5 linked regions of the Daphnia pulex genome follow. The protein of the gene in region 1 purifies or fractionates together with the protein of each later gene. This does not show direct contact. Links are inferred from orthologs where the notes say so. Each region holds a gene or a part of one and is shown in the gene's direction. Other genes may lie near its edges. The genes, in order: nudC domain-containing protein 1-like, putative pre-mRNA-splicing factor ATP-dependent RNA helicase PRP1, ATP-dependent RNA helicase DHX8-like, coatomer subunit alpha-like and pre-mRNA-splicing factor ATP-dependent RNA helicase PRP16-like.

What was found.
Region 2: the proteins of nudC domain-containing protein 1-like (region 1) and putative pre-mRNA-splicing factor ATP-dependent RNA helicase PRP1 purify together in Homo sapiens (co-immunoprecipitation; 3 studies listed by BioGRID and IntAct, with this or other methods). This does not show direct contact. The link is inferred for Daphnia pulex from reciprocal best matches to the Homo sapiens genes NUDCD1 and DHX15.
Region 3: the proteins of nudC domain-containing protein 1-like (region 1) and ATP-dependent RNA helicase DHX8-like purify together in Homo sapiens (affinity purification with mass spectrometry; 3 studies listed by BioGRID and IntAct, counting the BioPlex papers as one, with this or other methods). This does not show direct contact. The link is inferred for Daphnia pulex from reciprocal best matches to the Homo sapiens genes NUDCD1 and DHX8.
Region 4: the proteins of nudC domain-containing protein 1-like (region 1) and coatomer subunit alpha-like purify together in Homo sapiens (co-immunoprecipitation; 3 studies listed by BioGRID and IntAct, with this or other methods). This does not show direct contact. The link is inferred for Daphnia pulex from reciprocal best matches to the Homo sapiens genes NUDCD1 and COPA.
Region 5: the proteins of nudC domain-containing protein 1-like (region 1) and pre-mRNA-splicing factor ATP-dependent RNA helicase PRP16-like purify together in Homo sapiens (co-immunoprecipitation; 3 studies listed by BioGRID and IntAct, with this or other methods). This does not show direct contact. The link is inferred for Daphnia pulex from reciprocal best matches to the Homo sapiens genes NUDCD1 and DHX38.

The regions. Positions count from the first base shown.
Region 1 is NC_060021.1:754,723-761,099, forward strand, and holds nudC domain-containing protein 1-like, read left to right. Parts: upstream 1-2,430; 5' UTR 2,431-2,634; coding exon 2,635-2,904; intron 2,905-2,966; coding exon 2,967-3,152; intron 3,153-3,222; coding exon 3,223-3,349; intron 3,350-3,415; coding exon 3,416-3,691; intron 3,692-3,762; coding exon 3,763-4,118; intron 4,119-4,207; coding exon 4,208-4,333; intron 4,334-4,402; coding exon 4,403-4,616; intron 4,617-4,681; coding exon 4,682-4,926; 3' UTR 4,927-4,982; downstream 4,983-6,377.
Region 2 is NC_060017.1:1,845,199-1,851,346, reverse strand, and holds putative pre-mRNA-splicing factor ATP-dependent RNA helicase PRP1, read left to right. Parts: upstream 1-2,025; 5' UTR 2,026-2,151; coding exon 2,152-2,198; intron 2,199-2,379; coding exon 2,380-2,421; intron 2,422-2,534; coding exon 2,535-2,642; intron 2,643-2,705; coding exon 2,706-2,846; intron 2,847-2,909; coding exon 2,910-2,984; intron 2,985-3,045; coding exon 3,046-3,150; intron 3,151-3,213; coding exon 3,214-3,592; intron 3,593-3,672; coding exon 3,673-3,927; intron 3,928-3,991; coding exon 3,992-4,250; intron 4,251-4,309; coding exon 4,310-4,501; intron 4,502-4,855; coding exon 4,856-4,995; intron 4,996-5,058; coding exon 5,059-5,232; intron 5,233-5,293; coding exon 5,294-5,456; intron 5,457-5,514; coding exon 5,515-5,636; 3' UTR 5,637-5,641; intron 5,642-5,699; 3' UTR 5,700-5,943; downstream 5,944-6,148. Other genes in the region: quinone oxidoreductase-like, read right to left, coding at 1-130, 250-402, 462-560, 641-673; dehydrogenase/reductase SDR family member 12-like, read right to left, coding at 5,984-6,099.
Region 3 is NC_060022.1:2,535,298-2,541,598, reverse strand, and holds the start of ATP-dependent RNA helicase DHX8-like, read left to right. Parts: upstream 1-2,532; 5' UTR 2,533-2,664; coding exon 2,665-5,673; intron 5,674-5,737; coding exon 5,738-6,003; intron 6,004-6,075; coding exon 6,076-6,301. Other genes in the region: merlin-like, read left to right, coding at 47-149, 245-454, 521-627, 701-830, 901-1,032, 1,096-1,347, 1,408-1,724, 1,787-1,946 and 1 more.
Region 4 is NC_060025.1:3,019,874-3,026,120, forward strand, and holds the start of coatomer subunit alpha-like, read left to right. Parts: upstream 1-2,796; 5' UTR 2,797-2,902; coding exon 2,903-2,982; intron 2,983-3,069; coding exon 3,070-3,217; intron 3,218-3,279; coding exon 3,280-3,834; intron 3,835-3,908; coding exon 3,909-4,119; intron 4,120-4,186; coding exon 4,187-4,560; intron 4,561-4,633; coding exon 4,634-4,786; intron 4,787-4,851; coding exon 4,852-5,449; intron 5,450-5,513; coding exon 5,514-5,722; intron 5,723-5,784; coding exon 5,785-5,967; intron 5,968-6,035; coding exon 6,036-6,247. Other genes in the region: GDP-D-glucose phosphorylase 1-like, read left to right, coding at 98-163, 241-362. UniProt on the Homo sapiens protein: The coatomer is a cytosolic protein complex that binds to dilysine motifs and reversibly associates with Golgi non-clathrin-coated vesicles, which further mediate biosynthetic protein transport from the ER, via the Golgi up to the trans Golgi network.
Region 5 is NC_060023.1:12,097,965-12,104,174, forward strand, and holds the start of pre-mRNA-splicing factor ATP-dependent RNA helicase PRP16-like, read left to right. Parts: upstream 1-2,426; 5' UTR 2,427-2,531; coding exon 2,532-2,673; intron 2,674-2,738; coding exon 2,739-2,968; intron 2,969-3,035; coding exon 3,036-3,511; intron 3,512-3,570; coding exon 3,571-3,641; intron 3,642-3,707; coding exon 3,708-4,105; intron 4,106-4,163; coding exon 4,164-4,322; intron 4,323-4,381; coding exon 4,382-4,546; intron 4,547-4,607; coding exon 4,608-4,714; intron 4,715-4,780; coding exon 4,781-4,916; intron 4,917-4,986; coding exon 4,987-5,133; intron 5,134-5,196; coding exon 5,197-5,407; intron 5,408-5,470; coding exon 5,471-6,000; intron 6,001-6,061; coding exon 6,062-6,210. Other genes in the region: DNA polymerase kappa-like, read right to left, coding at 249-947, 1,017-1,291, 1,361-1,631, 1,693-1,789, 1,848-1,963, 2,021-2,293. UniProt on the Homo sapiens protein: Probable ATP-binding RNA helicase. Involved in pre-mRNA splicing as component of the spliceosome.

The DNA.
Region 1 (6,377 bases):
GGTGGATACGATGAAACCGGAAAAACCATCTGGAATCGCTTCATATGCATTACGACAACGTAAAAAGTTATACACCACCTCAACATTTCTTAAATACAAAAGATTGAACAACAAACACCCGGTCTTCACTCTATACTACGCATCACCCGGCGTCTTTTTCTTATATCATGCATTCAAACAAACATCGCTCATCCGTTGTGAACAGTTTTGAAGAATAATAATAAGAAAAAAAAGGTATATAGTATAACAATATAACAAATATAGATGTGCTTGTGTAGTATATACATGTACATGTCTATTCAAGGCTGTGCTGGGGTCACATTGTGGTCGATTCAGTTATTGTTCGGTGGGAATCTGTAACCAAACAACCTTCGCCTTCGTCGCGGTAGCCAATAACGGTTGGTTTATTTCGTCTCTTCTCTCACTTGTGCTGCGATCTTATAAGTTGTTGTTGACTGTCAGAGCGCGCGCAGCATGCAATGATGTGTGTGAAAGACCATGAAATTCTATCCGTATGCATCTGACCAGAAAAAAGGCAGGTATACATATATGGTCTTTATAGTATGTATTCCGTATTATTTCATAGTTGTAGCCAGCGAATATCAATATATATAGATCTACGATTTAATCTCAAGCACTAAATATAACTATACAAGGTAAATTCTGATATACTATGTTTGGTCTACAGACTTTTACACGCTCTTTATTCTCTTATTTCATCATGTTCGCCATCATCATCCCTTCGGCATCATTTGCAATTCGTCTCACACCCGATAGGATTTATTCAGAACTAATTCATATTTTTGCGTTGATTCATTCGTCAATGGCCGATTTCGATTAGCAATGGTGTGTTATTCTAATTCTTTTCTCAGGTATAACGCTTCTTGGATATTATGTATATACGCAGCAAGCTGCTGCTGTGTATACTTTGGTTATTTGCTATATAGAGCGGCCTGACAGCGTTTGAGTGAGCTGTTATGCGATCGGTGTTCAAAGAAATTCAATCCATCATCGCGTGGCTGACCCGTCATATAGTAAGAAAAAGGGTTAGGTGAATAAGGGAGAGCTTATATTCACAGAGAATAATACTATAGATGCCAGCAACGTTAAAGCTTGATGCCTGGTGTAACTCGGTTAGACTGGCGAGATGCCTATCGATTACTGATCGAATTTCTTGATTTACGCTGACCCCTACAAATTCCTATCGTAGAAAATGCATTGCCACAATTGAGCCACAATCTAACACAACCTTGAAAAGAAGGTCATAACGGATACGATTCAGACTGCTGAAAAAGACACACTAAAAAGATACAACAAATTCCGGTTCGTTAACCAGTTAGATTTTATTCCCCAGGACGCCAGGAGCGATCAAGTTTTGTATTCGAAATTTTACTTTTCAAAATTCCATCCCATAGCTTTTTTCAAATGTATTACTTAAAAAGTATAAACTGTGCAATATATTCATCATCAATCTTCACAACTACAAAGATTAGTAGTCTGCCATAGAGTTGAGTTCACATTTGGATTATTGTTTAAAATAGGGCTAAAAAAAGCACATGAATCGATACTTACTTTTGTATGTCCTCGATAGTATAGTGGTGAGTATCCCCGCCTGTCACGCGGGAGACCGGGGTTCAATTCCCCGTCGGGGAGGATTTCTTTTTAACTTTTAAATCGTTTTTAACTTTTTATATATTCCGTTATTAATATCCATACACCATTTTAATCTTCTCTTATTATTCTGTCGAGTTCTCAGTGTTAGTGGTTGGTTTCTCTTCGTCGTCAAGGCACCCGACATTTTCTAGCCTGCACTGTTTGAAAAAAGATTTCTTGAAGTAACATTTCGGACTTGACAAGTCCTCGATAGTATAGTGGTCAGTATCCCCGCCTGTCACGCGGGAGACCGGGGTTCAATTCCCCGTCGGGGAGGATATCTTTTTTCATGTTGATTAATCTTCATTTTATCACTTTTATCAATATAAAATTTAAAAATATGCAAATGTATTATCTACGTAACATTAAATTTAACCAAAACACATTTATGCAACAACCGCTTCATAAAAAATAATTAAAGCGCACCAAACATTTAAATAATATTTCTAACTACAATTTGGTTATCGACTTATCATTGAAAAGCACAATAAAAATAGCAGATCGATGTTATGCGAAAAATAATTAATTATTTGGTAGGTTATGGTCTTATACTCTTATGGAACGTGCATGATTAAGCTGTATGCTTGGGGAAGTTGGGCATACTAGAGTACTGTCATTAAATTCGCATTGCTCGGATTCTTTTTCATCATATTTTAATTACTGTAATCGTTATTCACGATCTATCCCGAACGCAGAACACGAATTACATAAATGACCCAATTTCGTTTTTTCTTTAATTGAATTCATGTTTCGCCATCTAGCGAACGATTGTCGATTAGTCAGCAACAGACCGACAGACGGCTCTCAATCCTTTTGAGCAGACGGAAGAGCGCGTACACAAAAATACGTTTGTAATCGTTTGTCAGAAGTACACATCATCATTTAACAGCGAAAGTATTTCACTTCGTATTCATTCTGTCGTTTGTATAACTTGTCTCAGTTTCTTGAAATTTATCGCGAATTAAAATTCCTGCCGAGAAAATGGAAAAGATATTTGAACTCCGCCCGAAAAAAGATTTGCTAGATCCTACTTTCGAAGGATACAAATTGAGTTTGGATGCTTTACCTGTTTACAAACATGAAGTACCTGTGGCTGTCGAACATTTAAAACCAAGTGATGAGCAACTTTCTTATTCACACGTGAAAACATTCGGTCTTCACAATCATTTGATAGAAGATCCTTGGTCAGATGAAATTGCCTTTTTCATATCAAAAGATTTGCAGATCTTCAAAATCAACCTTCATTCTCTGGTTTGTTGGATTAATATTTATTTTTAAAATCCAGAATATTTATTCTATGAAATTTTTTGCAGGCAAGTCAGAATCCTGAGTTTACGTCTGTATGGCAAATCCCACAAAGATCTGAAAGAAGAGATGGCTGGTTTAATGCATCTTTGAGTTTTGCTTCGTCAGAATTGGCAGTTGTTACAGATGGGGGAGGTGTATTACATATAATCGATACAAACATCCGTACTTCAACACATTCTCATACTTGGGAGGTAAGCACAGTTTTATTTTTGCAATTCACTGCCATTATAGATTTCTTGTTAATTTCATACATTTTTAAAGGTCAAGTTGTCCAACCAAATTATGGGAAGTGGTGAACCCTTCAAGGTTATACATTCCATCCTCAATGCTGAAGAGGGCAGCCAATTGGAGACTCTTTCTGTTTTGGTTCTCAAAGTTGAATCAATCGGTATGCATAACAATTTTTAAAAGTAATGATTTTGAACAAGATTAAATTTTGAAAAGATTATTCCAGATCAAGTTGAGAGCCAAATTGCTTTGTCAATATTTGGATGCAGTGAGAAAGAGACTCCTTTCATAAATTGCCTTGAATGGATTGAGTATGAACACAAGGATGGAAATTGGTCCTTCAAACAACTTAAACGTTTAGCGATACCTCACGGCTTAGATTATGCTTCCATTTTGAGCCCTGGTAAATCGATATGCCTTATTGCTCGGGAGCCTTTCGGAATCATATTCGATTCCACCAGGAATGTCGCTGCTCCCTTACCAAGCCCACAAATGGATGAAGGTATAACAAGAATTATTGTAGACATGTCTCATTATACTATCTGATTCTAATTTACTCTTCTTGTTTGCTAGATGAATCTGAAAATAAAGTTGCATATACTTGGGCAGAAACTCCAGAGGAGGTGACTCTATGGGTCAATTTTGACAAACAGACGTCAAAGCACGACTTGGTCGTTAAGATTGAAAGCCAAACTTTAAAAATTGTACACAAAAACCAAACTTATTTGGATGGCGAATTAGCGCATGCCATTTCGGTTGATACGAGTACGTGGACGTTGTCGGATGGAAAACTAGAGATCATCTTATCAAAGAATAACCAATCCCTTAACTGGAGTCATTTGGTCCTTAATGACCTTCGTGGTCGAAAAGTTCTTGACGCTGAAACAGCTGCCGAGTATGAAACTGTATTGAATACCACGAAAGACAAGGTAATTGCTGCAATCTTGTTAATCATGTTTTATAATCAAGTATCAATATTGTTTGAAAACAAGTAACTAATGTTCCAATTTCTCATTAGCAATCAGGAAATGGTGGACGACCTCCAATCTTCAGCAGTGAACAACTAGAGGAATGCGATGATGATATGATGGACGAAACCTACATCTTTCGTTTCGATGGAGAGACTAATCAATTTACACACAAAGTAAATAATAGAAACAAATTTCGATAAGGTTAAATAGCTAACTAATTATGTATATATTTTTTCCAACAGGCCATACTGAGTGGTCAGCTACTATTCTTTACTGAGAGTGCTCCAGGATTAGCCCCGGCGTTCTGTTTACGCCATGACGTTGATGGACTTATTTGGCAGCCGATGGGAGATGAATTAGAACAGCCATGGGGATGCCTTCACACTGCTGCGCTCCAAGCACTTGGTTACATCCAGGCTTCAAAAGAACAACGGAAGTTTACTGTAGCACCTCCCGGTAAAATATTTCGATAAGACGACCAATTGAATATTTAACAAAAAATTCCGTTCAAATCTACGTAGATATGACTTACGCAGCTTTGTGTGATGCATTCACTCACGTTTACATTTACCGTCAACCCAATTGCTCGTCGACTGGCGTGGAGATGGTACATCGTCCAACAGGCAGGAAAGTGGGTAATATTGCTCGTCAACAAGTTCTCAATATCGATAGTTCAGAAGAATGCCTTGGAGCCATGGCCACCAATACTTTCTTACTCATTCTCACTTCTTCGTCACTTTTTGCCATTCGTGTGAACAGCGATTAAAGTCTCACACAGTTTCCTTAATGAACGGCTGAATACAATTACTGATTCAGACTGTACGTTGAATGTAATTTTTTTTTGTAACTTTGCCCAGTTTGAAATTTAGGTATGGGGTGCATGATACCATGATACCATTAATAGGCGTATTCGATTCGTAATGGTTGAAGAAGTAATTTTACTAAAGGGTTGTAAAAATAGATCGTTCGGTGGGAAATTTGAATTTTAAATACTCCACCACTCACGATCAAAACATGTACGTACTAAGAATACACTATTTTTTAAGACCGCGAAAATCAAAGGTGGGCCCGATTATTTAAAAAATGGAAAATCCTAAAGTAGATTTGTGAAAATTGGTGGGAATCTAAATAGGTCACACATTATGTTGTTTGTGTATGTATAATTAAAATTTCAGATTCCTAAAGCTGCTATCTTATAAAATTTTACCGTATCAAAACAACTTTTGATTTGAGGTTGGCCTCATAATGTCTTGAGCTACAGAACGAAAATTGACCTATTTTTTTTTTGTTGATAGGATGTTGATTATCTTATCTCTTGTTTATCACACCATCAATTGGTGATAGTTTTTTGAGAGCTTGCACAAGGTCTCCTATTGATGTACGGGAAATAACAAAAAAAAAAAACAAGGAAGGGAAACGAAACTAGAATGCCCGCTTGAGCATAAAATAATTCAACCAATTTGTTACAATTATTATTTCAAATACTCTCTATTATCCTGTATTTTTATCATTTTTATTTTGTTACAAATGTAGGCCTACCAATTTTAGCATTATTGTTTTTCACTTCAGTTAAAACTATGATAGAGTTAATGTTTTTTAAAGGGGTCGCACACTTACTTAAAACTAAACTATGAATAAAGTTCATTTTAAAAAAATACAATTTAATTTGCAATTTGTTTGGGGTTTAAATCTTTTTTTTAGTCTAAAATAAGTAACTGTACTCCGGTCTTTGGTGTCGGGTGTCCGGAGTCCGGTAAGTGAAGAGGCTTTCGTAATTTCCCACCCTGTTGGTGGCTCAGTTGGATATAGCAGTTCGACTAGGCGTTGCCAACTAGCGCCAGCACGATCAACTTGTGCACCAGGAATGCAAGATATTTGAAATATTAAATAAAAAACTTTATAAATTAATGCTAAGATAGATTAACGTTAAAATAATATCGTTTGTAAATCTCAGACAAATAGTGGTGGTCGAAAAATAGTTTTTAGTTTAAAAAAAAAATGATCCAAGTCACCAGAAGGCGCTAGTAACGCCATCAGTCTCGAAACGATGAAACGTTGCTTTTTGAAGGACGGGAGAGTCGAGTTGAGTTTGTAAAGTGGTCAGAGTTTATTGGACTGTTGGAATATTGGGCTTATCTGCTATCTTTTTCATCTGTTAAAAGTTTAGTTGACCAGTTCTTCAGCAATCAGTTGGTTTATGAGGGTTGGTAAATGTCG
Region 2 (6,148 bases), on another chromosome or scaffold:
AAGGAACACCTAGAGCGGCCCCTTGGGCGAAGGAGAGGCGATCAGCCAGATGGAACACTGAATGCGATTCACAAGCAACGTACTCGGCGTAAGAGCCGCTGGCTCCGGAAAAGAAAACGCGATCACCTTCCTGCAATAGAAAAGAAGAAATTGTAGCACTTTCTCTTCAAACTATTTCTTGAGTATTTGGATGATTTCAAATCATTGAACCTGTTCCTTTGGAAGATTATTTTAAAAAGGACGACTAACCTTGAGTGTGTCAACTTTGGAGCCAACTTTTTCAATAGTTCCAGAACCATCACGTCCAGGGATGTAAGGCAGAGTTGGCAATTGAGCAAATAATCCCATTCTAATGTATGTGTCAACTGGATTAACACCAGCTGAACCAACCCTAATCAAAACCTAAACATAGCAACTTTAGAACAGTCGTGTCAATTGAAGCAAGTGAACAAATAAAAAACCTGGGTTTCAGAATGAACAGGAATCGGAACATCAGACTCTACTTTCAAGACTTCTGGTCCTCCAAATGTGTGCACACGTACAGCCTTCATTGCCAGTCCCTGAAAATAAAACAACAATAAAAAAATCATTATTTTAATGTTCATAATCTCTACATGATTTTGTCCATTTTTCTGTATACCCTAGTTAATACAAAGAAGTTTCTCGAGTTCATTGACACATATTTAGTTAAGGGCTCGGTCGAAAGTTCGTTGCATCTTTCATTTTACAGTTTACCTTCACTGGATAATTTACAGTTTACCTTCACTGGATAACTGCTTGCTGGCTTTCTCTTATCTAATCAAGCAGCACCTCTAGTTTTATTCAATAAGATATCTGTTAATAACATCAACAAGTTCAGACGACATAGAGGGCGAAGGCTCCCAATTCAAAAAATGTCCGATCGCAATTTTTGCAAATCATAAACAGAAATGCAAATAAAAAAAGTAGTCTTTGGTCTCTTTAGAAGGAAAATATTAAATCAAAATGCGATGCTCTAGATACTGAGAGCGCGTAACGGAAATCGGGTTTCTTTGGAAATATTTTCTCCCGAAGTACGGGCACTTTTTCGGCCATTGAAATCAAGTTATTTAACAGCACACACGAAATTTCCAATTATTTTGTTAAGTAATATTACAGATTTTTAGCTATAGCGATAAAATTAACGGTAACAAAAAATTGTCTTACGGATTTTCAAAGGGAATTGTAACAGGGAAACGTAAACTGGACGGACGTAGGACGGAAGACCTGTTAATTCCTCGGCGGCAGGTAGCGATGTGAATGTCGGGAGCACCGAGAAAGAAGAAATAGGACATCAAATTTCCTAGCCTTTCTTTTTTTCTTTACTGCTATGTGTTCCGCTCAGTTCACGATTTCATGCCCGTTCTCTGCGTTCTACTTTCTCTCTACAACTTCCCTACTAATAAAGAACAATTTAAATTGAATTATTCCGGGAAGCATCAATGCATTTAAACAATAGCTTCTCCCCATATAGATTTTTATTTTCTATTTTTTCCTAGGCCTAATTTCATTAGACCAAACACATGATTAATAGAAATAAGACAAATTGAGTCCTTCAATGCGTATTGGATATTCAAACTAATTTATTTGAAATGAATTCAAAGTTTTTTATAATAAGGACGTCGTCAATGCTGAATTCTCGTGGAATATATAAACATAACGGTACTGAACGGAGGAAATATTCCGAATTGAGAAATCAACAACTTTTTCATTTAGGCTAACTTGTAACTTTCTAACCACCAAAACGAGGCAACCATGAAATTGTGATCGAGCAGTAAAATAATTACTATACTATTCAATTAGCAAATACCATATAGCTAGGGTCTGAAACGAATTAGAAGCAAAGCCATATACATTTATAGATCAGCGCCGCGCATAAAAATACGGCATCTGTAGACGAGTTATTGTCAACTTAAATTGTGGCAATAAACCAGTAGTTCCGCAGTTCGCCGCTTATTGGCTATGTGCCATCTAGCGATTTGAAATGAAACGCGTGCTTCCTTTGAATTTCACAAGTAGCGTCTGCAAGTGTGGAAATTGGTGGCCGAAGTTCCTGTCTGTGCTGTTGGAAAACGTGTATCCACGTCCTGTTCGTTTTTAAATATCGTAAAATAGATATTTTCACCTCTTATTATGTCGAAAAGACGCATAGAAGTTGATGACAAGCTCAGCAAGAAATCGTAAGTAAAATGCAATTATTCAAATTAGACAAATAAACCCGCGATTGTGTCATTTGTAATGCACATGAGCATGCTGTAGTGAAACATGTCGTGGTCGATAAGATTGTTAATGATTTTTCAAAAAACCATCATTCTTTTTTTAAATTATTATGCAATAAAATTAATTTGTTTTACTTTACAGCCGGGCAACTGGTGACAAAGGGAGTGAAGCAGATAAAGAAAAGTAAGCTTCTATTGTTATAAATATTTTTCTAAATTCATTTTCACTTTTTGATTTACAAATTCCCATATTAGTGTCTTAAGATTAAAATAATGCTTTGTCTTATTACTTTACAGAAATGTAACTGATTCTAAACCTGGTGGTTCATCTGCATCAATTCCAGTAACACCATCAAAGCCAGGGTTGACATTAAATCCCCTTACAGGATTGCCCTATACACAAAAGTACATCATAAATATTATTTTTTTTTAAACACTCGTTGATAATGATCATTTATATTGTTTTAGATACTATGACATTTATCGAAAGCGCATTGGCCTTCCAGTTTGGGAATACAGGGAGAAATTTTTTGAGCTTCTAGAAAACAACCAGGCAATAGTTTTAGTTGGAGAAACTGGATCGGGAAAAACTACTCAAATTCCTCAATGGTTAGGAAATATATTTAGTTTATCGTAGAGCAGTTTGTTGATAATTTGCTATTATTGTGACAGGTCGGCTGAGTTTGCGCGAAAACTAGGAGTTAAAAAAGGAGTCGCTTGTACTCAACCACGTCGAGTTGCTGCTATGTAATATTTTAAGTCAAATAGTTAATTTTCTCTTAATATAAAACCGTTTTTTTTTTGTAAGGTCTGTGGCTCAACGTGTAGCTGATGAAATGGACGTCGTTCTTGGTCAAGAAGTGGGTTACAGTATCCGTTTCGAAGACTGTTCTTCCCCCAAAACCGTACTCAAGTATGTTCTTTTGAGTAAAACGTTTTATTCGATCAAAACTATTCCCTATTTCATTTTTTAAAGGTACATGACAGACGGTATGTTGTTGCGTGAAGCCATGTCAGATCCACTGTTAGACTCGTATCAGCTAGTTTTATTGGACGAAGCTCACGAGCGTACACTTGCTACTGACATTCTTATGGGTGTTTTAAAGGAAGTCATTAAGCAAAGGCGTGATCTAAAGTTAATTATCATGTCTGCCACGCTTGACGCGGGAAAGTTTCAATCTTATTTTGATAACGCACCATTGATGAACGTGCCCGGTCGGACGCATCCTGTGGAGATCTTTTACACCCCAGAACCCGAGCGTGACTATCTTGAAGCAGCCATACGCACAGTCATGCAAATTCACATGTGTGAAGATATTGTCGGTGATGTTCTTCTCTTCCTCACTGGTCAAGAGGTTAGCTTTATATATTTGTAAAATTTGATTGAATTTCTCAGATTTCTCTGAACATGTTTATCTTATTCATGTACACATAGGAAATCGATGAAGCTTGCAAAAGGTTGAAACGTGAAATCGACAACCTTGGTCCTGAAGTGGGAGAAATGAAGTGTATTCCTTTGTACTCCACATTGCCACCAAATTTGCAACAGAGGATTTTTGAGGCTGCTCCCCCAGTTAGACCAAATGGAGCCATCGGTCGTAAAGTGGTTATTAGTACCAACATCGCCGAGACCTCGCTTACTATTGATGGTGTTGTTTTTGTTATTGACCCTGGTTTTGCCAAACAAAAGGTAACATTTAGGAATTTTCAAATGTGAGTTACATGGTTCAAATTTGTGGAATTGCTGTTTTCAGGTTTACAATCCTCGCATTCGCGTCGAGTCTTTACTCGTTTCTCCTATCAGCAAAGCATCAGCTCAGCAACGTGCTGGGCGTGCCGGGCGTACGCGACCAGGAAAATGTTTTCGTCTTTACACAGAAAAAGCCTACAAACAAGAGATGCAAGACAACACATATCCTGAAATTCTTCGCTCCAACTTGGGATCAGTCGTCATTAATCTTAAAAAATTAGGCATCGACGACCTTGTTCATTTTGATTTCATGGACCCTCCAGGTACCATATCAACATTTAAATAAATAAACCGCATGCTGATTTTTTTTTTTATTTTACAGCTCCCGAGACTTTGATGAGAGCTCTAGAGTTGCTGAATTATCTCGGTGCTTTAGACGACGATGGTAACATGACCGAGTTGGGAGCAATTATGGCTGAATTTCCCCTTGATCCTCAATTGGCCAAAATGTTGATTGCTTCTACGGAATTCAACTGCTCCAATGAGATCCTTTCGATTACGGCTATGCTTTCCGGTAAGCTTCACCTAACTTCTATTTCGGTTGATTTGGTTGTCTTTGTGTGGGATCTGAAAAATAGCTAGGGTGATTTGCCACGTTTTGCCTTTGTAGTTTAATCTAAAAGTTCTTACTTGTTATGGCAAAACGGCTAATCAACTGGTTTAAAAGGTGTGCTTTCTTTGAGAGCACAGATCATAGTAGAAACGATAGGCTGTTCTATTGTATCCTGTTAATAGGTGAACAGAACTAAACATGAAGGCGGGACGCGCGGGCTTCCCATTTTTTGGTCTCCTTGAAAAATGTGGGGCCCCACTTCCGTCTCTTTCTCTTTTTGTCTCCTCCCATTTTTTCCGCAACGTCTGAATGCAGTCCCACAAGTTTTTATGCGTCCACTGGAAGCCAAAAAGGCTGCTGACGAGGCCAAGATGCGCTTTGCTCATATTGACGGTGATCACTTGACTATGCTGAACGTCTATCACGCATTTAAACAAAATATGGAAGATCCTCAGGTATGCTCCCGTCTTTTTCTACGAGCTCGTTGATGGTAATCTCACATTTTTCTTTTTAAACAGTGGTGTTATGACAATTTTGTCAACTACCGGTCAATGAAATCGGCCGACAATGTGCGACAACAGCTTTCCCGTATTATGGATCGCTTCAATTTAAAACGCACATCCACCGAATTCACCTCAAAGGACTACTATGTTAATATTCGTAAAGCACTCATTAGCGGTTTCTTTATGCAGGTATAGAGACAAATAATTTCTTCTCTTTGTATTTAAGTACATCTTCGCGTTGTTCTTCCAGGTTGCCCATTTAGAACGAACGGGTCACTATCAAACTATTAAAGATAACCAAGTGGTACAACTTCACCCTTCGACTTGCTTGGATCACAAACCGGAATGGGTTATTTACAACGAATTTGTTTTGACCACTAAAAACTACATCAGAACTTGCACCGATGTCAAACGTAGAATATGAAAATCTGATTTTCTGATCCCCCAAATTAACACACTTCTGTTTTGTAGCGGAATGGCTTATCAAAGTTGCTCCTTCTTATTATGATATGAGCAATTTCCCAGAAGGACCGGCAAAGAGACAACTTGAACAGATAATCAACCGTCTAGAGAGTCGAGAATATCGGAATTGAAAACGGTAAGTTGACGTTATCCTTTGTTTCTATTCGATATCAGGAGTCAAACTGTTTTTTTAGGGCTTAAAAACACCTCTTACACTTACTTTGTAAAGTCGACCGATCATCAGTTTCCATGAATTGATTCGAGGCGAAGACATTCCGACTTCTTTCGCAAACATCAAAGCTTATTCAAATATTACATTTAATCGGAAATCAAGCAGTCGAATATTACAATTGTAATCTTTAACAAAATGTGCACATGTTGCATCAATGTCCAACATTGAAAATTTCGAGATGGTACAATACATGGAGTATCATCAATTTTAGCTGAAATTTCAATGTACACTTGTAATGATCGAAAATTAGTTCTTCATGAATTCGTCAGCTAGGGCTTCTAACTTGGCCATGAATTTGGCTTCTTCCTCTTTAGTCGAATGAGTCCATGCCAACGGTAAGTGGGTTGAAACTGAACGGCGATCTAAAAGAAAGACAAGGTTTAGGTGTAGTCTATTGAAGAAACCCCGACG
Region 3 (6,301 bases), on another chromosome or scaffold:
ATTTTAACCGTTTTATAGACTTAAGACTTTACTTTATGTTATATAGGTACGCGGATCATAAAGGTCTCAGTCGTGATGAGGCTGAAATGGAGTACTTGAGAATCGTACAGGATTTAGAAATGTATGGCGTTAACTATTTTCCTATAAAAGTGAGTTTAGAAACCCTAGCTAAAACTAAAATGCGTGTATATCTTGCATATTGTTAACTTGTTTTAATCTACAACTTATTATTCTATTTGAACAGAATAAAAGGGATTCCGAGTTGTGGCTTGGTGTTACGGCCCTCGGTCTGAATATTTACGAGCAGGATAACAAATCCGTACCGCGCATTAACTTTCCCTGGTCAGAGATCCAAAACATCAGCTATGACGACAAAAAGTTTGCCATTAAACCAGTCGACAAAACTGCACCCCCTTTTATTTTCTATTCGGATAAGCATCGAGTCAACAAATTGGTAATCCATGATTTTTACATAAATGAAAAAGGATAGCGAATTTTATTTCCGCATTTTTATGTCTAGATCTTAGATTTGTGTATTGGAAATCATGATCTCTTTATGCGTCGGAGGAAACCGGATTCAATTGAAGTTCAGCAAATGAAGGCTCAGGCTAAAGAAGAGAAACTCAGGTAAATTTGACCTTGACAAGTTTTGTCTTATTCATTGTTGAGTTCTTATTGTGGTTACTTTACCGTTTTTCAGACGACAGAGTGAAAGAAATAAGCTTGCACGAGAGAAGCAACTACGCGAAACAGCTGAACGTGAAAAAGCAGCCCTAGAACAACAGTTAATTCACTTTCAGGAAGAATTCCGTGTAGCGAACGAACAGTTGGTATGATATTCTTCAGTTTAATTTTTAGTTTTAGTATCAAGTACAGTATTTCATTATACCAATTTTGTAGAGGCGTTCCGAAGAGTCGGCTGAGCTGCTGGCCGAAAAGGCGCGAGTTGCAGAAGAAGAGTCAATGTTGTTAACTCAAAAAGCCTCAGACGCTGAACAAGAGTTGCAAAGAATTCGTTTATCTGCCATGAAAGTAAGTGAATTTTTTCATAACTTATTTAGGTAGCTTTACATTTAATTGTCTTTTTGCGTCTAGACCGAAGAGGAAAAACTTTTGTCTCAGAGACAATTACATGAGGCGAAGCAAATTGCCTCAAGGTTATTAGAGAATTCTGAGCGTTGTGCAGCAGAAGCAGAGCAGCTAAAAGGTGACCTTTTGCAGGCCCGTTACGCTGAAACTCAAGCCAAAAAGAAGCTACTAGAGTTTTTAACAACACAAGCTAGTGTTGCAGCCTTACACTCGGCATCTCGTCCAATTACACGCATCCCGTCGTCCGCGTCTGTCCTGGTACTTTGCAGTTTCTGTCAACATTTTAATGAGCGAATAACTACAATTACCATTTTTCAGTCTGTTCCCAACTTGTTTCCGACATCAAGTTCGTCGGTAGCTGGATCAGACCACCATTTACATCATCAGTCGGACATTCAGCAACATTTACGACGACTCGACGATGTCTCTAACGAAGCAAGTTTGCCGGCTTATGAGGCCCGCCTTCCTATTCCGCTGGCTAATCAGCTTACTGGCCTCACCAACTTAACTGGCTTAAGTAGTAGTGGATATCTATCAGCTATTGCTGCTTCCGAACTGGTCAACTCTTCATCCAACTATGACCTTATGACACATGGCGATATGGAGCAACTCTCACTTGAAATTGAGAAAGAGAGGTTGTAAATCTATCGTAGGAATTGTTGCGTAATTGTTTGCTCATTTTTTAAAATAAATTTAGAGTCGAATACTTGGAAAAATCGAAGCAACTGCAGGAGCAACTGAGAGAATTGCGTACAGAGATTGAAGTCTTGAAAGTAGGTGAAAAACAAACGCTTTACGATCAGCTACACGAAGAGCAACTCCGTTCAGGGGACGACAAATACTCAACTCTCAAAAAGGTACGCATGAATGAGAGTCATTAATTCAAATTTGAGTTAATTTTTCTTTTTTTCCTAGTCAAAATCTGGATCGACTGGAGCGCGCGTGGCCTTTTTCGAAGAGCTGTAGCTTAAGTCATATTTTTAATTTTACTTTTGACAATGTGTTGTACATAAATTTTAAATTGGCTGACCATTTTCATGGATGCAACTTAGTTTATAATCTTTAATTCACTAAGTTGCCCATTTTCGTGAAATCTTATCATCATAGACATTAGACAAATAGACTTTCATTTAAAAAAAACTTAACTCTTGTTGACTAATGAGTAATGTCTTTTACTAGTAGCAGCATCGGCGTTGTTTACATTCTTATATGAATTTTGCAAAATGAACCTGTATGTCTAGAATACCAATTCAATATGAACATGGAAAAGTTTCATTCAAATTCAAACACAAAATGCAGAGAACCGAGAAAGATTAGATAATTCTTCATTTCAATCTGTGAAACGCAAAAGTTAACAAATTCATTTCGAAAAAATGTAAATATTTTTTGCGCGCAATGTTGCCAGTTCATCTATTAATTTTGATTTTTCTTTTACAGCATTCTTGCAACGTTGTCTTAACAACGAAAGCATTCGTTTTTTCGTCGGCTCGTCAATTTCCACATTCGTCGCCATCCCAATTGTTGTGCTGTCAATTTGTAAATGATTTAATAAGTGGCAAAATATCCTATATCATCATGGATGAATTAGAGAAACTCGAACACCTGTCGCTTGTTTCTAAGGTGTGCACAGAATTGGAAAACCATTTGGGACTCAACGATAAAGATCTGGCAGAGTTCATCATCGCATTGGCCGAAAAACACAAGACCTTTGATGAGTTCAAAAGTGTAATGCTGGAGAATGGCGCCGAGTTTTCAGACTCTCTCATTGCAAATTTGCTTCGTCTTATCAAACACATGAAATCAGCCAACTCGAAAACAACTGATGTGAACTTAGCCCAGGTAAAGAAAACAGTTTACAATGCAGAAACAGAGAAGAAACGGGAACTCTTCCCTGGTCTTGCCTTAGCAGATAACCCTAAGGCAAGAACAATGCTTCTCGAAGACATAAAATTGACTATTAAAGATGTTGAAGAAGCTAACGATTTAATGGCTGAACTAGAAGCCATGGCTCCTAAAGAAGAAAAGATTTCTACTGAAGCAATCGAGCCTGTTCAGGAAAGAGCAAGGAGTAAAGACAAGAAGGAAAGAAGCAGACGTTCAAGAAGCAAGGACCGCAGCAGAAGATCAAGAAGCAGAGACCGCAGCAAGAGATCCAGAAGCAGAGACCGAAGTAGAAGGTCAAGAAGCAGAGATCAAAAGAGGAGATCAAGAAGCAGGGACAGAAGTCACAGGTCCAGGAGTACAGATAGAGGAGATCGAAACAGAACAAGTGATCGTCATCATGATAAAAGAAGTAACGAAGGCAGACGAGAATCCCCAAGTCGAAAGAAACCTCAAAAAGATTTTCCAGAGAATCCAGAAGTGGGAAATGTCTACGCGGGAAAAATCATGAATCTTGCAGCTTTTGGTTGTTTTGTACAAATTGAAGGAATACGGAAAAAATGTGAGGGTCTAGTGCACATCTCCCAGTTGCGACGAGAAGGCCGTGTGAATAGTGTGGCTGAAGTTGTCAATCGTGGAGATAAGGTTCATGTCAAAGTTATGAGCATTGCTGGCCAAAAGATCTCTCTTTCTATGAAAGATGTGGACCAAGACACTGGCGAAGATTTGAACCCAGCTCCTTCGACGTCAAGCCGCCCTGGACTAACCAGCCAGGAAAGTGAAACAGCTTTAAGGAATCCAGATCGACCTCTCTCATTGCTAGATTTGAAGGCAAATGTAGAGGAGGATGAACTAACCAACCGCAAGCGTGTGCAACGGATTTCGTCTCCTGAACGCTGGGAACTGAAGCAAATGATGGCAGCAAATTGTATCGACAAAATGGACTTGCCCGAATTCGACGAAGAAACGGGTTTACTGCCAAAGCTGGCCGAAGACGAAGAAGATATCGAAATCGAGTTGGTGGAAGAAGAGGCACCCTTTCTTCGAGGTCACGGTCGAGTGCTTAATGAACTTAGTCCGGTTCGTATCGTCAAGAATCCCGACGGTTCTCTAGCTCAAGCCGCCATGATGCAAGGCGCTCTCAGCAAAGAACGCCGCGAACAGAAAATGTTGCTCAGAGAAGAACAAGAAGCAGCTGACGCACCGGCTCAAGGCGCCAACAAGACCTGGATTGATCCCATGCCGGATGCTGGGGCTGCACCGTCAACGTCGTTGGGTCGCGGAACGGGAGCCCCTGTATACGACATGCCCGAATGGAAAAAGCACATCACTGGTGGACCGAAAGGAGCCTCTTTCGGCAAGAAAACTAGTTTGTCCATCGTCGAGCAACGTCAATCACTTCCCATCTACAAACTCAGAGATGAACTGATCAAAGCTGTCAATGACAACCAAATCCTAATTGTCATCGGTGAGACGGGCTCGGGAAAAACTACGCAAATCACTCAATATCTATCCGAGTCCGGATTCACGGCTCGTGGAAAGATCGGCTGTACGCAGCCTCGTCGTGTGGCCGCCATGTCCGTTGCCAAGCGAGTTTCGGAAGAGTTTGGTTGTCGTCTAGGACAGGAAGTTGGATACACGATTCGTTTTGAAGATTGCACCAGTCCTGAAACTTTGATCAAGTACATGACGGATGGTATGTTGCTGCGTGAATGCTTGATTGATCCCGATCTGCAATCGTATTCCTGCATCATGTTGGACGAAGCCCACGAAAGAACTATTCACACAGACGTTCTTTTCGGTCTTCTCAAGCAAGCCGTCCAGAAGCGAGCCGAACTCAAACTCATCGTAACGTCGGCCACTTTGGATGCCGTGAAATTCTCGCAGTACTTTTTCGAGGCGCCCATCTTCACCATTCCGGGTCGAACTTTTCCCGTCGAGATATTGTATACTCGGGAACCTGAGACGGATTACTTGGATGCCTCGCTCATTACCGTCATGCAGATCCACCTTAACGAACCACCGGGCGACATTCTTCTTTTCTTGACTGGTCAGGAAGAGATCGATACTGCCTGCGAAATTCTATACGAGCGCATGAAGTCCATGGGCCCTGACGTTCCTGAGCTCATCATTCTTCCCGTCTATTCCGCTCTACCGTCTGAAATGCAAACTCGAATTTTCGAACCGGCTCCACCAGGCTCCCGAAAAGTTGTTATCGCCACCAACATCGCCGAGACCAGTCTTACCATCGACGGTATCTACTATGTCGTCGATCCTGGTTTTGTCAAGCAGAAAGTCTACAATTCCAAGACCGGAATGGACTCTTTGGTGGTGACACCCATTTCACAGGCGCAAGCCAAGCAGCGAGCTGGTCGCGCCGGTCGTACTGGACCTGGAAAGACTTACCGCTTGTACACGGAGCGAGCTTATCGTGATGAAATGCTTGCCACGCCTGTTCCCGAGATCCAGCGTACTAATCTCGCTTCCACTGTCCTGCAACTCAAAGCTATGGGCATCAATGACCTGCTCAACTTCGACTTCATGGACGCTCCTCCTGTGGAGTCACTTATCATGGCACTTGAACAGCTGCATTCCCTTTCCGCTCTAGACGACGAAGGATTACTCACGCGTCTTGGTCGACGTATGGCCGAATTTCCTCTGGAGCCTTCTCTCTCCAAGATGCTCATCATGTCTGTTCACTTGGTATGATATTATCAACAATTGTTCCTGATCGATGTAATTGACGTTTTAAAAATTTTTGTTTTAGATGTGTTCGGACGAAATTTTGACAGTCGTGTCCATGTTGTCAGTTCAGAACGTCTTCTACCGACCCAAAGATAAGCAACAGTTGGCTGATCAGAAGAAAGCCAAATTCAATCAAGCCGAAGGAGATCACATCACTTTATTGGCCGTTTACAATTCCTGGAAGAACAACAAGTTTAGCAGTGCCTGGTGTTACGAGAATTTCGTTCAGATGCGTACCTTAAAACGAGCTCAGGATGTTCGTAAACAGCTATTGGGCATTATGGACAGGTATGTTTAGTCTTTGATGCAAATTGTATTATCCGTTCAAAAATCTAACATTTGTTCTTCTACACTTTCCAGGCACAAATTGGACGTGGTATCGGCTGGCAAGAATACGGCTAGGGTGCAGAAAGCCATCTGTTCGGGTTTCTTCCGTAATGCGGCCAAGAAGGATCCGCAAGAAGGTTATCGGACGTTGGTGGACGGCCAGGTGGTCTACATCCACCCGAGTAGCGCGATCTTTAACCGGCAACCCGAGTGGGTCGTCTACCATGAATTGGTTCAAACCACAAAAGAGTACATGCGT
Region 4 (6,247 bases), on another chromosome or scaffold:
AACAAAAGAGAGAAAATATAATACTCAGATATAAATTTCCAAGTGGCGCAGCGTCCCTTTTAACTGGCATTTTTTCTCTCCCACTTTTTGCCCGCAGGAGTCAAAGAAGAAATAGGATTCAACCCTGCACTTTGCGAGCTGGCCGGCCACCTTTTGATCAAAGGTGCGTTTAAACTTGTGAAGAATCAGCATAATTTCTTCGACTATAACTGTCTTGAGGTCATTTTGCATTTATTTCAGAGCCACCAGCCTACCAGGTCGTGACGGAAAAAGAAGCCGCCCAACTGCTGGACAGCATCACGGCACCCTGGTTCGAGCGCGTCGGCGCCCAGATTGCCCATCTCTTTGCTTTTGCCACGTAGTCAAAAACGATCGCTCCCAGTTGACAGATGACTGACGTAAATGACCCTGTTGTAATTAAATCGCGCCAGCTTTTTTCTCTCGACCAGCTCAACTGGTTCCGTGAGGTTGTGCACAGCACAGACAACAGTAACGATTTTTCGGTTTATTTCGGTTTGCATCAATTTTCATTTGGAGCCGGGCCACGTTTGGCTGGGTTGAAACAATTTCAGGTCGTTTGCTGTTTTTGCCTTCGTTGTCTCTTACAAAACGCTGACCAGTGAAACACAGTTGTTTAAACTATTTTAATTTTTTATTCTGGGGGGTTTTTGTGTATATTTCATCTTGACGTGATAATTATGTTGTCAACAAAACTACGATGATAGATTCGCAGGGGGAATTCTAAAGGGCTGGAATTCCGGTAATTTATACCCCCCCCTCCCCCATTCAACCATCATTTGACAATGTCAAATGATGGTTAACGCCGTAAAAACGCCGTAAAATTCTGTTCTGTGCTGGTCACGACCGTCGTGATTCTGTAGGTTAACCGCAGTTACACTAGACATATATGTTAGAAATGATTTCTACCGTGATATTAGAGGTAGAACTAATATACTACGTTTTAATTAAAATAATTGAAACATGAAATGAAGTGAGTGAAGTTGAACTTGAAATTTATTTGATGAAATTAAATCGTCATACGTTTAAATCCAGACATGAATAACATTTTTTAGTGACGTACGGATCTCAATTGGTAGCTGTTCCCAACTCGTTTAATTCCGGATGACCGAGTCTCTGTAACTGGCGGGGGGATTTTCATATTCCGGCGGCAGATTCGGGTAAATGGTCTGATACACATTTTCTGTTGCTTCTCCTGTTGTCGTTCCTGATCCTGTCGTCGCTGGAGGTTCGTGCAGAGTAGGTGTGGGGGGTGGTGTCAGGTTTGTGGTGCTTTGGCCAGATTGGGCTGCGATTTCATTGTTAGCTGGAACGTCATTCCAGTAACGTGGAAGTTTTGGTTCTTTTTTAGTTTTCGTCCAAAATCTATCCACTGCTAACCACACACAAGCAACAGCGCAGCATTTCAGGTAGCCGGAAACCAGTTCTTGGTCGAAATTCGCCAGATTAGGCGAGATGACGTCAAAGTATCCAATTTGAAAGGTGAAGACTGGACCCATTATACCGAAAAGTCTTTGGACAATTTTCATTGCAGAATCATCCTCTTCCTCCCACTTCCAGTAGTAATCCATTTGCAATAATGTTGCAAACATAAGGTAAGCCTGAATTGCCGCTAGTGTGGGCAGCGCATTGGATAGGGCGGGGATCCACATTTCCGGAGGTGTTGAACATGTGACCCAAACAACCGGATTCCCATCGAGATGATTGTCGGGACTGCAAAGCACATCAAGTCCGTTCGGTTTGCAGGCGGCTAGAAAGTTTGGAGCCAGAGTTTCAGTTGGACCGTTGTTCACCCATAGCCAGACGAAAACACCTCCAGTAATCAACGCTACAATCCATAGCAGAAGTTGAAACAACACCAGCAATATGCCTGCAGAACGGTTTGATGATGAAACAGAACGGAATCTTTTCTTTGCGAGTAGGATGCCTGACATCAAGAGACTTACACAGCAAAAACATGTTCCTTGTAGAAAACAGACACTGTATTTTTCTCTCGGGTTACTGGATTTCATCGGATAGTTAATTTTATCGTACTCGTTGCATGTTATTTTTATTGGTTTTCCATTAATGTCCGGTTGATTAGGAGGTAGTTTGACAAAACAGATTAAAAATGTCCACACAACGATAAGTGTAATCACGTATCCGATCAGGTTTGAAAAAGCTTTTTTCCCTTTTGCGAATTTCGTCATGGTGATATGAATCGCTGTTTAGTTTGATGATTATCCGCTTCGTCTAGCGGTCGTATATATATCATTCCATGGACAGAAACTTGCTCTGCAGTTGTTGAACCGGCAATTAATCGTAAATTTCGGGATAATCAACTTGGATTTTTATTTTTTAAATTTCGTTTTTCGTTAACTTACATTTTAACGAATAATGTTCAAAAGAAATTACGAATATGCGACAATCCCTTATCTCGTAATTTGTATTGTCAAAAGTACACTTGGCTTGAATTTGACACGAAAAAGAAAACATTCGAATCTTCGTTTAAGTGGAATTTCAAATTTCATACAGTTCTCTTCGATTGTTGACTCATCTTATCGAGTTTTTTCTTAAAGCAATTCACTTCAACATTAGAAAGCACGCTCTATCATTCCTTGGGCGTAGTTAACGATAACTAAGTCGACAAGATAAGACTCGCCTACGTTGACTTCGTTCACCAACACCAGAAGAATTTGGCAATTCAAATTAAAAAAAAAAAAACTAGCCAAATCCGCACTGAACTATGCCATCTAGCGTGAAGTACCTTCATATTATATGAACCTATCGGTAGGTGGCGTTTATCTTGACTACTTCAGCGACGTGGCTCTTCTGTCATTTCATTATTCCGGAGACTTGTATACTTTATATTTGGTGACCGTTCACCGGTTAATGTCTCGCAAAAATGCTAACTAAATTTGAAACGAAATCGGCCAGAGTTAAAGGCCTTTCCTTCCATCCCAAGCGACCATGGATTCTAACGAGGTACGTGTTTTTGCATACTTTGATTCCCGTCTTGAAGTCGGCAGTTGTCAAAGTCTGAATTGTTTTAATTGAATTTTTGTCATTTAGCTTGCATAGCGGAGTAATTCAACTATGGGATTATCGTATGTGTGCGTTGCTGGATAAATTCGATGAGCACGATGGACCTGTACGTGGAATCTGTTTCCATAGTCAGCAGCCCCTCTTTGTTTCTGGTGGCGATGATTACAAAATTAAGGTACCCACCCTTGCCTGACTTGACAAATTAACAAATGCCAATAATGTATGCTGTTCCTTTAGGTCTGGAACTACAAGCTGCGGCGCTGTCAATTCACATTGTCTGGCCACATGGACTACATTCGTACCACAGTCTTCCATCACGAATACCCATGGATTTTGAGCGCCTCTGATGATCAAACTATTAGAATCTGGAACTGGCAAAGCAGAGCTTGTGTATCTGTTTTGACTGGCCATAACCACTATGTCATGTGTGCCCAGTTTCACCCCACAGAAGATTTGATTGTTTCTGCATCCCTGGATCAAACTGTCAGAGTTTGGGACATTTCTGGTATTAACAGTTGTCAACCATTTTTCACTGTCAAGATCACATCATTATTTCTATTTTTGTTAGGTTTGAGAAAAAAGAATGTGGCACCTGGACCTGGAGGTCTCGATGAACACCTCCGTAATCCTGGAGCCACCGATTTATTTGGCCAAGCTGACGCAGTTGTTCGCCATGTTTTGGAGGGGCACGATCGCGGAGTGAATTGGGCAGCATTTCATCCGACACTTCCGTTGGTCATCTCGGGTGCTGACGATCGCCAGATCAAGTTGTGGCGAATGAGTGAATCTAAGGTGACGAGAGCACAGCAGAAATGACTTGTTAATCTTCTGAAAATAACTTTTTTGTTTCTCCGTATTGTGAACAGGCATGGGAAGTCGATACGTGCCGTGGCCATTACAACAATGTTTCTTGCGTCTTGTTCCATCCTAAACAAGAGCTGATCCTTTCCAACTCGGAAGACAAGAGTATCCGCGTTTGGGACCTCACGAAGAGGACGTGCCTCAACACTTTCCGTCGTGAACACGACCGTTTCTGGGTTATGGCTGCCCATCCAACTTTGGGTCTATTCGCAGCAGGTAAATTAACATTCTGTAACATTTCAAATTGGATCACGCTAATAATGCTAATGTGTTGTTTATTCAGGGCACGATTCCGGAATGGTGATCTTTAAGCTGGAGCGAGAAAGGCCTGCGTACAGCTTGCACGGCAATCTGCTATTTTACGTCAAGGAGCGTACCCTTCGTCGGTTGGATCTTACCACGTCGAAAGATACCGGTTTGCTGCAGTTGAGGGGCAACGCTCGCACGCCGATCCACAGCATCTCGTACAATCCTGCCGAGCAGTCTGTTCTGGTTGTCACTCGCGCTGCCAATTTAGACAATTCCATCTACGAGCTCTACTCGGTTCCAGTTGAAGCCGATTGTCCGCAAGATGGTGGCGATGGAAAACGCTCAACAGGTGTGACTGCCATCTGGGTCGCTCGCAATCGTTTTGCTGTCTTGGATCGTAACCACACGGTATGCCACGACTATAAACACCGGGTTAATGTTGGTTTTCTACAATAATTTTATTTCATTTTTCATTTTTTAGATCGTCATCAAAAACGAAAAGAACGAAGTCAGCAAGAAAATTCAGACACCTCCGTGTGATGAAATCTTTTATGCTGGTACTGGATGCGTTTTACTTCGTGATACGGAAGGCTTGACCTTATTTGATATCCAACAGAAACGTAGTGCTGGACAGGTAATAAAACTAAGCAAGTAGGTCATTCCAAGAACAACCATGTTCATTCAAAATTTTCTATGCAGGTTAAAATGACCAAATGTCGCCATGTCGTTTGGTCGGCGGACATGAGTCACGTTGCATTACTGGGCAAGCACGTCTTGACCATCGCCAACCGTCGTCTTGAAGTGCTGTGCACCATCCAGGAGAACGCCAGACTCAAGTCTGCTACCTGGGAAGATTCGGGTGTTCTGATCTACACCACTAGCCACCACATCAAGTATTCATTGATCAACGGCGATCACGGCATCATCCGCACCCTAGATCTGCCCGTGTATCTCACCCGTGTCAAGGGCAAGGCTATCTACTGTTTGGATCGCGATGCCCGTCCTCGCATGTTCCAGGTGGATCCCACCGAATACTGCTTCAAGTTGGCCCTGGTCAACCGAAAGTACGACGAAGTGTTGCACATGGTTCGACACGCCAAACTTGTCGGCCAATCGATCATCGCTTATTTGCAGCAAAAAGGTTATCCAGAGGTTGCCCTACACTTTGTCAAAGACGAAAAGACTCGACTGGCCCTGGCTCTCCAATGTGGCAACATTGAAGCAGCTCTTGAAGCCGCCAAGGCTCTAGACGACAAGTTCTGTTGGGAGAAACTTGGCGAAGCTGCCCTTCTTCAAGGTCAGGATTCTCGCTATTAGTTTTTTTTTAATGATGTTTAACTTACTTTATATTGGATCTGTAGGCAACCACCAGGTCGTTGAGATGTGCTATCAAAGGACAAAGAATTTCAACAAGTTGGCCTTTTTGTATCTGATTACTGGCAACCTCGACAAGCTAAGAAAGATGATGAAGATTGCTGAAATTCGCAAGGACACTTCGGGTCAATACCAATCGGCCCTTTTGCTAGGGGATATGCAAGAACGTGTCAAGGTGCTTCGTAACTGCGGACAGGTAATACGGGACGGTTCAGTTAACTAAGTTTTGAATGATAGTAATGTTTAAACATGGTCTAGACGAGCTTGGCTTTCCTTACTGCCGCTACCCATGGGCTTAATGAAGAGGCCGAACTACTGCAACAACAACTGGAAGCAGCCGGTCAACCAGTACCTACTGTAAATCCATCTGCTGTGTTCTTGCAGCCGCCTCCTCCAATTGCTCAGGCGGAATCCAACTGGCCATTGTTGACCGTTTCCAAGGTACGCCATTGTTCATTTGATAGATTTTAATGGGAGGGAACTTTAACATTTGAAATGAACTGGAACAGGGATTTTTCGATGGAGCCATGGCAGCTCGTACCATTGCTTCTGGATCTGCTGTTGCTACCGAGGAAGATGCCGGTGAACCTGATGGCTGGGGAGATGATGCTGATCTTGGTCTTGATGATGAAGATAAACCGGTTGGATCGGCTGGCAATGCCGAGAGCGGAGATGAAGAAGGTGGCTGGGAAGTGGGTGATGAAGATTTAGAGTTACCATC
Region 5 (6,210 bases), on another chromosome or scaffold:
TGGTTGCGCTGTTGACATTTGGATTTCCGATTGGAGGGGGGGAGAGAGTCTACAGTGGTAGCAGACGGTTGTACTACATTATTGAAAAGGGCCATCATCATTAACATCTCGGCGAATCGATAAGAGCTGCGACGACAGCGACTCGTAGCGGCAACCATCAATCTACCCACCCACCCATCCTCATCTAATAAATTCATCTATCAATTATTAAAAACTCTAAACTTGATATGGAAGACTAAAAGGGGGAATCATTTACTACGGCGGATTATGTATCGATCGAGTTTCGTCTGGTGACAAGTGGAAGAAGAAGATGAGCTGGGCAACACCAAAGAAGTGGTTGTTGCGAGTGGTGGTGTTGTCTCAGCTGGAGGGTAGAGAACTTGTTGATTCAAACATTCGTCGATGTGGCTGTTGAGGGCGACTTCACCGTCCTTCGTCCGCCACGAGTGGCAAACCGGACAGGTGAATAAGAGAGACGCCAAAGTCGGATCCGGTTCCGAAGAGGAGGACAGCACTTGTCCGTCCTCCTCCAATTTCCTCTTCTTCCTGGCCGGACACTCGACGGCCAGTAGTTCGCTCAGAGTGCGCTGCTTCCGGCTAGGCTTGTCATTTCCGGTTCCAGCTGACGACGACGGCGTCAATTGTGACATGCGAACACCCAACAGTCGCAAGTTCAACCCGGACGGCAGCAAACTGGTGGCCGCTTTGGCCATCACACCGCCATCTCCCGTGTAGCCCGTCAACTGCGTGATCCGCGTCTTCACGTCAAACTTGTCCGTCTTGTATTTCAACGTCACTGATCGACCCAGCACACCGTGACGTTCCAGGTCTTGGGCCAAATCGGCGCTCAATTGACGGATAATGTCGCACAATTCGTTACGATCGCTGGTCGACCGGAACGTCGTCTCGCAGCTCACCGATTTACGTTCACGTTCAGATCCATCGCCCTATGCCACACAATTAAATCATTACACAAATAAATGAAATTGATATTTAAATGTTTTGAGGAAACTCACGCCACCACCGCCGGAACCGATTCCCAGAGCGACCCGCAAGAAATAGTCGTAACTGGACTCGCTGAACAATAAGTAAAGCAATTCCCGATGATTCCACAAATCTCGACACGTGGAGATGCCCAACGAGCCCAAGAGCTGCTCCGTCACGTTGCCAATGCCGCTGATCTTGCGGATGGGCAAGTCCTTGATGAACTCGTCGACCGCCTCTTTGCTGTTCTCCAAAATGAATTGGCCGTTGGGCTTGTTCTTGTCCGAGCACACTTTGGCCAGCATTCCTGCAGATAAAAAATCAAGGGTTTATCATTAGCAATTGGATTCAAGGGGCCGCGCACAATTCAATGGACCGTTGGGTGCGATGCCAGCGCTGGCCGTTAATTGGGTCGATTCCAAGATCTTGGCCCTCATCTCCTCAACAGCTTCCGAGGCCGTCATCTCGGCACCAGACTCTTTACGAGCGCAGAGAAAGTCCGTCAGGTCCAAATAAGCTTCGTCCAGCGAAGCGGCGCTAAACTCGGGGTCGTAATCGGCAAACACTTTTTGCACTTGGCGACTCACTTCCGTGTACTTTGGGAAATTGGTGGGGACAATCACCAGCTCAGGGCACAATTTTTTGGCCTGCGTTTAAGAAAGACTTGTTGTGACGATTGATTAAACAAATTTTAAGGAGAAATCATACTATGAATCCAGGCATGGCTGCTCTGACGCCAAATCTTCTGGCCAGATAATTGGATGTAGTCAGCATGGATGAAGAGCCAACTGCAATGGGTTTAGTCCTTTAATGTACAATAATGATTTCGATACAGCTTAATGTTGTGAAATGGTTAATAATACTTCAATTCTGGGCAATCTCTCATTTCAACAGCAGCATAGAAGGCATCCATGTCCACATGCACCATTGTGCGAGACAAATCCCTCGTCAGCTCAAGTTTTTGAGCCAGACTGTCCATCTGCACTCAACGAATACAATTAACAATCTACTTGACATTAAACTTGAAAAGTTATACTTTGGCTCTGGCCATTTTCTTCTGCTCTTCAGTCAATTTGGCACAAGCTGCCTTCAAATTAGCAATCTTGGCATCAATTCTTTCTTGATTTTTCTGCTTGTGCTGATAAAATTGAGAACCTTTGGAAGCCTCTTCAATGATTTGATTAATTTTAGCTGTATCCAATCCTTGCATCCCAGCTTTGTGATCGTTCAATTTCATGATACCCAAGTTCTCGTGGGAAGAATTACATTTTCGGGCACCATCGTCGCCCATTTCAACACGTTTCTCCATCGCTGGTTTTAACGGAAATGATGGGATTTGGCGCGCGAGCACGAGATTGTACTATTTACATTGGACATGGCGCCATCGAGTGGCAATTTTTGAAAACAAGTTTGGTGACATCTGGTGTCGATTATTGTAACTCGTTTTGGAAACGAATTGTAGACGACAAAGTTCGTTTTGAAACCACTAGCTGCATTTGTTAATCAAAAACTTATTTCTCGCCGTTGCTTCTTTTTAGGAAGCAGAAATGGCAGATCTTGACAACATTGAAGTGTTGGAAGGTTCGGCCCCGACATCGGGTGGAATTGTAGTTCGAAAGAAAAAAAATAACGACAAAATCGAAGAAGAAGGACCCAAAGTATCATTGCTGGGACTGGACAAGCTTGCTGGTGAGCCCATTTGTCTAGTATGTTGTAGTTGTCATGCCCCTAATTTGTTTTTTTCTCAAATACAGAACAGAAACGAAGATTGAAAGAGGCATTACTTCAGGATTTGAAAGACGAAGCTGACCAGAGAAAACTTGATGAAGGATTTCAGAAGCCCCATGTCAAGGTCGACAAGAAAACCTTGCGAACGTCAGATGAAACTCCCACATACACTGGAGGTGTGTCCGATGAAGCTAGAAACAGACTGCAGCACAGACAAGATCGTGACAAGCAGAGGAAGTTTCACGTCTCTTCTAAAGTACATTTTCTTGTAGAAGATTTTCAAAAAAAGTTCCTTCTAAAATGTATTTGTATATTAATTTCAGGTAAAGAATGATAGGCACAGGGATGAAAGTCCCAAGTTCAAACGTCCTGGCGAGAGAAGAGACGATCGTAGTATCCGAGAAGATAGCAAACGTTCAAGACGTTCAGATAATGGTTGGGAAACGCCAAAATTCCGGGACGAGCCTTCAACCCCCAAAATCCACGTAAAAGACTCCCCGTCGCGTTCCAGCTGGGACGATGATGATCTTGCGGCATCCAAAGGCTGGGAAAAAGATCAGGCCGAGAGGCGAGAACGTCGCATTCAGGCCAGCGGTGGCTCATCAGAGCGCCGTGACAGAAGAGGAGGATCTGATTGGTCTGAACGAGGAGATCGTCGTTCGTCCGACAGGTCAGAAAGAGGAGATCGTCGCGATTCTGATTGGTCCGAAAGGGGAGACAGACGAAGCAATGACAGATCTGAACGAAGAGGTTCGAACATGTCGGAACGCAGTGAACGGATTGCCTATTCTCATTACAAGTAAATTGTTTTACCAAAACTATAAGAGACTGTTAATAACATTTTCTTCTGTTATGTAGGAGTGCTAGGAGTCAACGATACAATACGCCCAGAGATTCTGGCATTGGAAGTTCAGTTGCAACTGATCGAGGCAAGGATTTCATTGTGTCATCTAAGTCTTGTGGGTTTTTTAATTTAAATTTTTTTATGAACACAGTGGGTTCACCTGAGGTGGAATTGGACGCAGAAGAATGGGAGGCGGAGCAGAAACGTCTTGACCGTGAGTGGTACGGCCTGGACGACGGTTACGATGCCGAAGCCAGTCAAGCGTTTGGTGGGGTCAGTGAAGAGTACGCCCAGCGCAAAGAGGAGCAACTGGAACAGAAGAAGCGCAAACGTGTGTCCGCCAAGCAGAAACAAATTCAGAAAGACAACGAACTGTGGGAACGTAACCGGATGTTGACCAGTGGTGTCGTCACCACAATCGACGTCGACGAGGACTACGAAGAAGAAGCCGAAGCTCGGGTCCATCTTCTCGTCCACAACATTGTTCCGCCTTTCCTTGACGGACGCTACGTTTTCACCAAACAACCAGAAGCCGTCGTCCCCGTTAGGGTCAGTAATAATATTTAAGCATTTGAACCGTAAATGTAAAACACATTTTGAATAACAGGACCCCACATCCGATTTGGCGATGGCAGCTCGTAAAGGCTCGGCTTTAGTTCGAGTTTATCGAGAGCAAAAGGAACGAAAGAAAGCGCAGAAGAAGCATTGGGAATTGGCCGGTACCAAGATCGGTAACATCATGGGTGTAGAAGCACGTCCTGAAGAGGTTAGTTTTAAATAGGACTATTGATGTCGTAATTTAAACTAAAATTTCTAAATTAATAGGATGCAGGTGCAGTGGATGAGACTACGGGAGAGACGGATTACAAAACGAGCCAGCGATTTGCGGAACATATGAAAGACTCTGACAACGCATCCAGCGATTTCGCCAAGAAGAAAACACTTCAACAGCAACGACAATATCTTCCCAGTTTCGCCGTTCGTCAGCAAGTCAGTCTGAACATGAATCGTATAAAACAAAGACCAACATCTAATTCTATTTTTTATTTAGTTGTTGACGATCATCCGCGAGAATCCAGTTGTCATTATCGTCGGTGAGACTGGCAGTGGTAAAACAACACAGTTGACGCAGTACCTGCACGAAGCTGGCTACAGCAAGTAAGTTTTACTCAACATGCCTATTATCAATAGCATATAAACTAAATGATTGGTGTGATTCATCAGGTATGGAATGATTGGGTGCACTCAGCCTAGGCGTGTTGCAGCCATGAGTGTGGCCAAACGTGTGTCTGAGGAAATGGGCTGCAATTTAGGTGACGAAGTGGGTTACTCGATCCGTTTTGAGGATTGCACCAGCGAAGTATAAATTATCTTTTAATATTCGATGGAATTTTTAAAACTTATTCAAACTGCTATTTTGTATTGTATAGAAAACGATCATCAAGTACATGACGGACGGTATTTTACTTCGCGAATCTCTTCGTGAACCCGACCTGGACAATTACAGTGTCGTCATCATGGACGAAGCCCACGAACGTTCACTCAATACGGACGTTCTTTTTGGTCTTTTGAGAGATGTAAGTTTTTATTTATTAAAAAATAGCAGCGGTTTTGCTTATTTAACGGAAGTTTAATTTTAGGTGGTTGGTCGTCGACAAGATTTGAAGCTGATCGTTACGTCGGCTACGATGGACTCGACCAAATTTGCCGATTTCTTCGGCAATGTACCCGTTTTCATCATTCCCGGTCGAACTTTCCCGGTGGATCTCATGTTTAGTAAGAACCCGTGCGAGGACTACGTGGACTCTGCTGTCAAACAGGCCCTTCAGGTCCACCTGCAACCCACTCAAGGTAACGCGTTTGTAAAATTTGAATCCTTGCCCGTAGAAATTATTAAATGTTCATTCTCTGCAGGAGACATTTTGATCTTCATGCCCGGCCAGGAAGACATTGAAGTCACTTGCGAGGTGATACAAGAGCGATTGGAACAAGTTGACAACGCTCCGCCGTTACTAGTGCTGCCCATCTACTCTCAACTTCCGTCCGAGTTGCAAGCCAAGATTTTCCAAAAGTCCGCCGATGGGATACGCAAGTGTGTGGTGGCCACCAACATCGCCGAAACGTCGCTGACGGTCGACGGCATCATGTTCGTCATTGACGCCGGATTCTGTAAACTCAAAGTGTACAATCCGCGCATTGGTATGGACGCCCTTCAAATTTACCCCATCAGTCAAGCCAACGCCAACCAGCGGGCAGGTCGAGCCGGACGTACCGGCCCTGGCCAATGTTTCCGTCTCTACACGGAACGGCAGTACAAGGATGAAATGCTCGTCACAACATTGCCAGAAATCCAGCGAACAAATTTGGCCAATGTCGTCCTCCTTCTCAAATCCTTGAGTGTTCAGGATCTCCTGCAGTTTCACTTTATGGATCCACCTCCCCAGGTAGAAAGCTTAAAATTATTCAGTTAAAGAAAGTCAGTTCATTTGTTTTTTGATCCTGCAGGAAAACATGTTGAATTCCATGTTCCAGCTGTGGACTCTGGGCGCTTTAGAAAACACTGGGGCTTTAACGCCACTAGGCCGGCAGATGGTCGAGTTCCCATTGGATCCCGCTCTCTCGAAAATGTTGATCGCATCGGTCGAAATGAAATG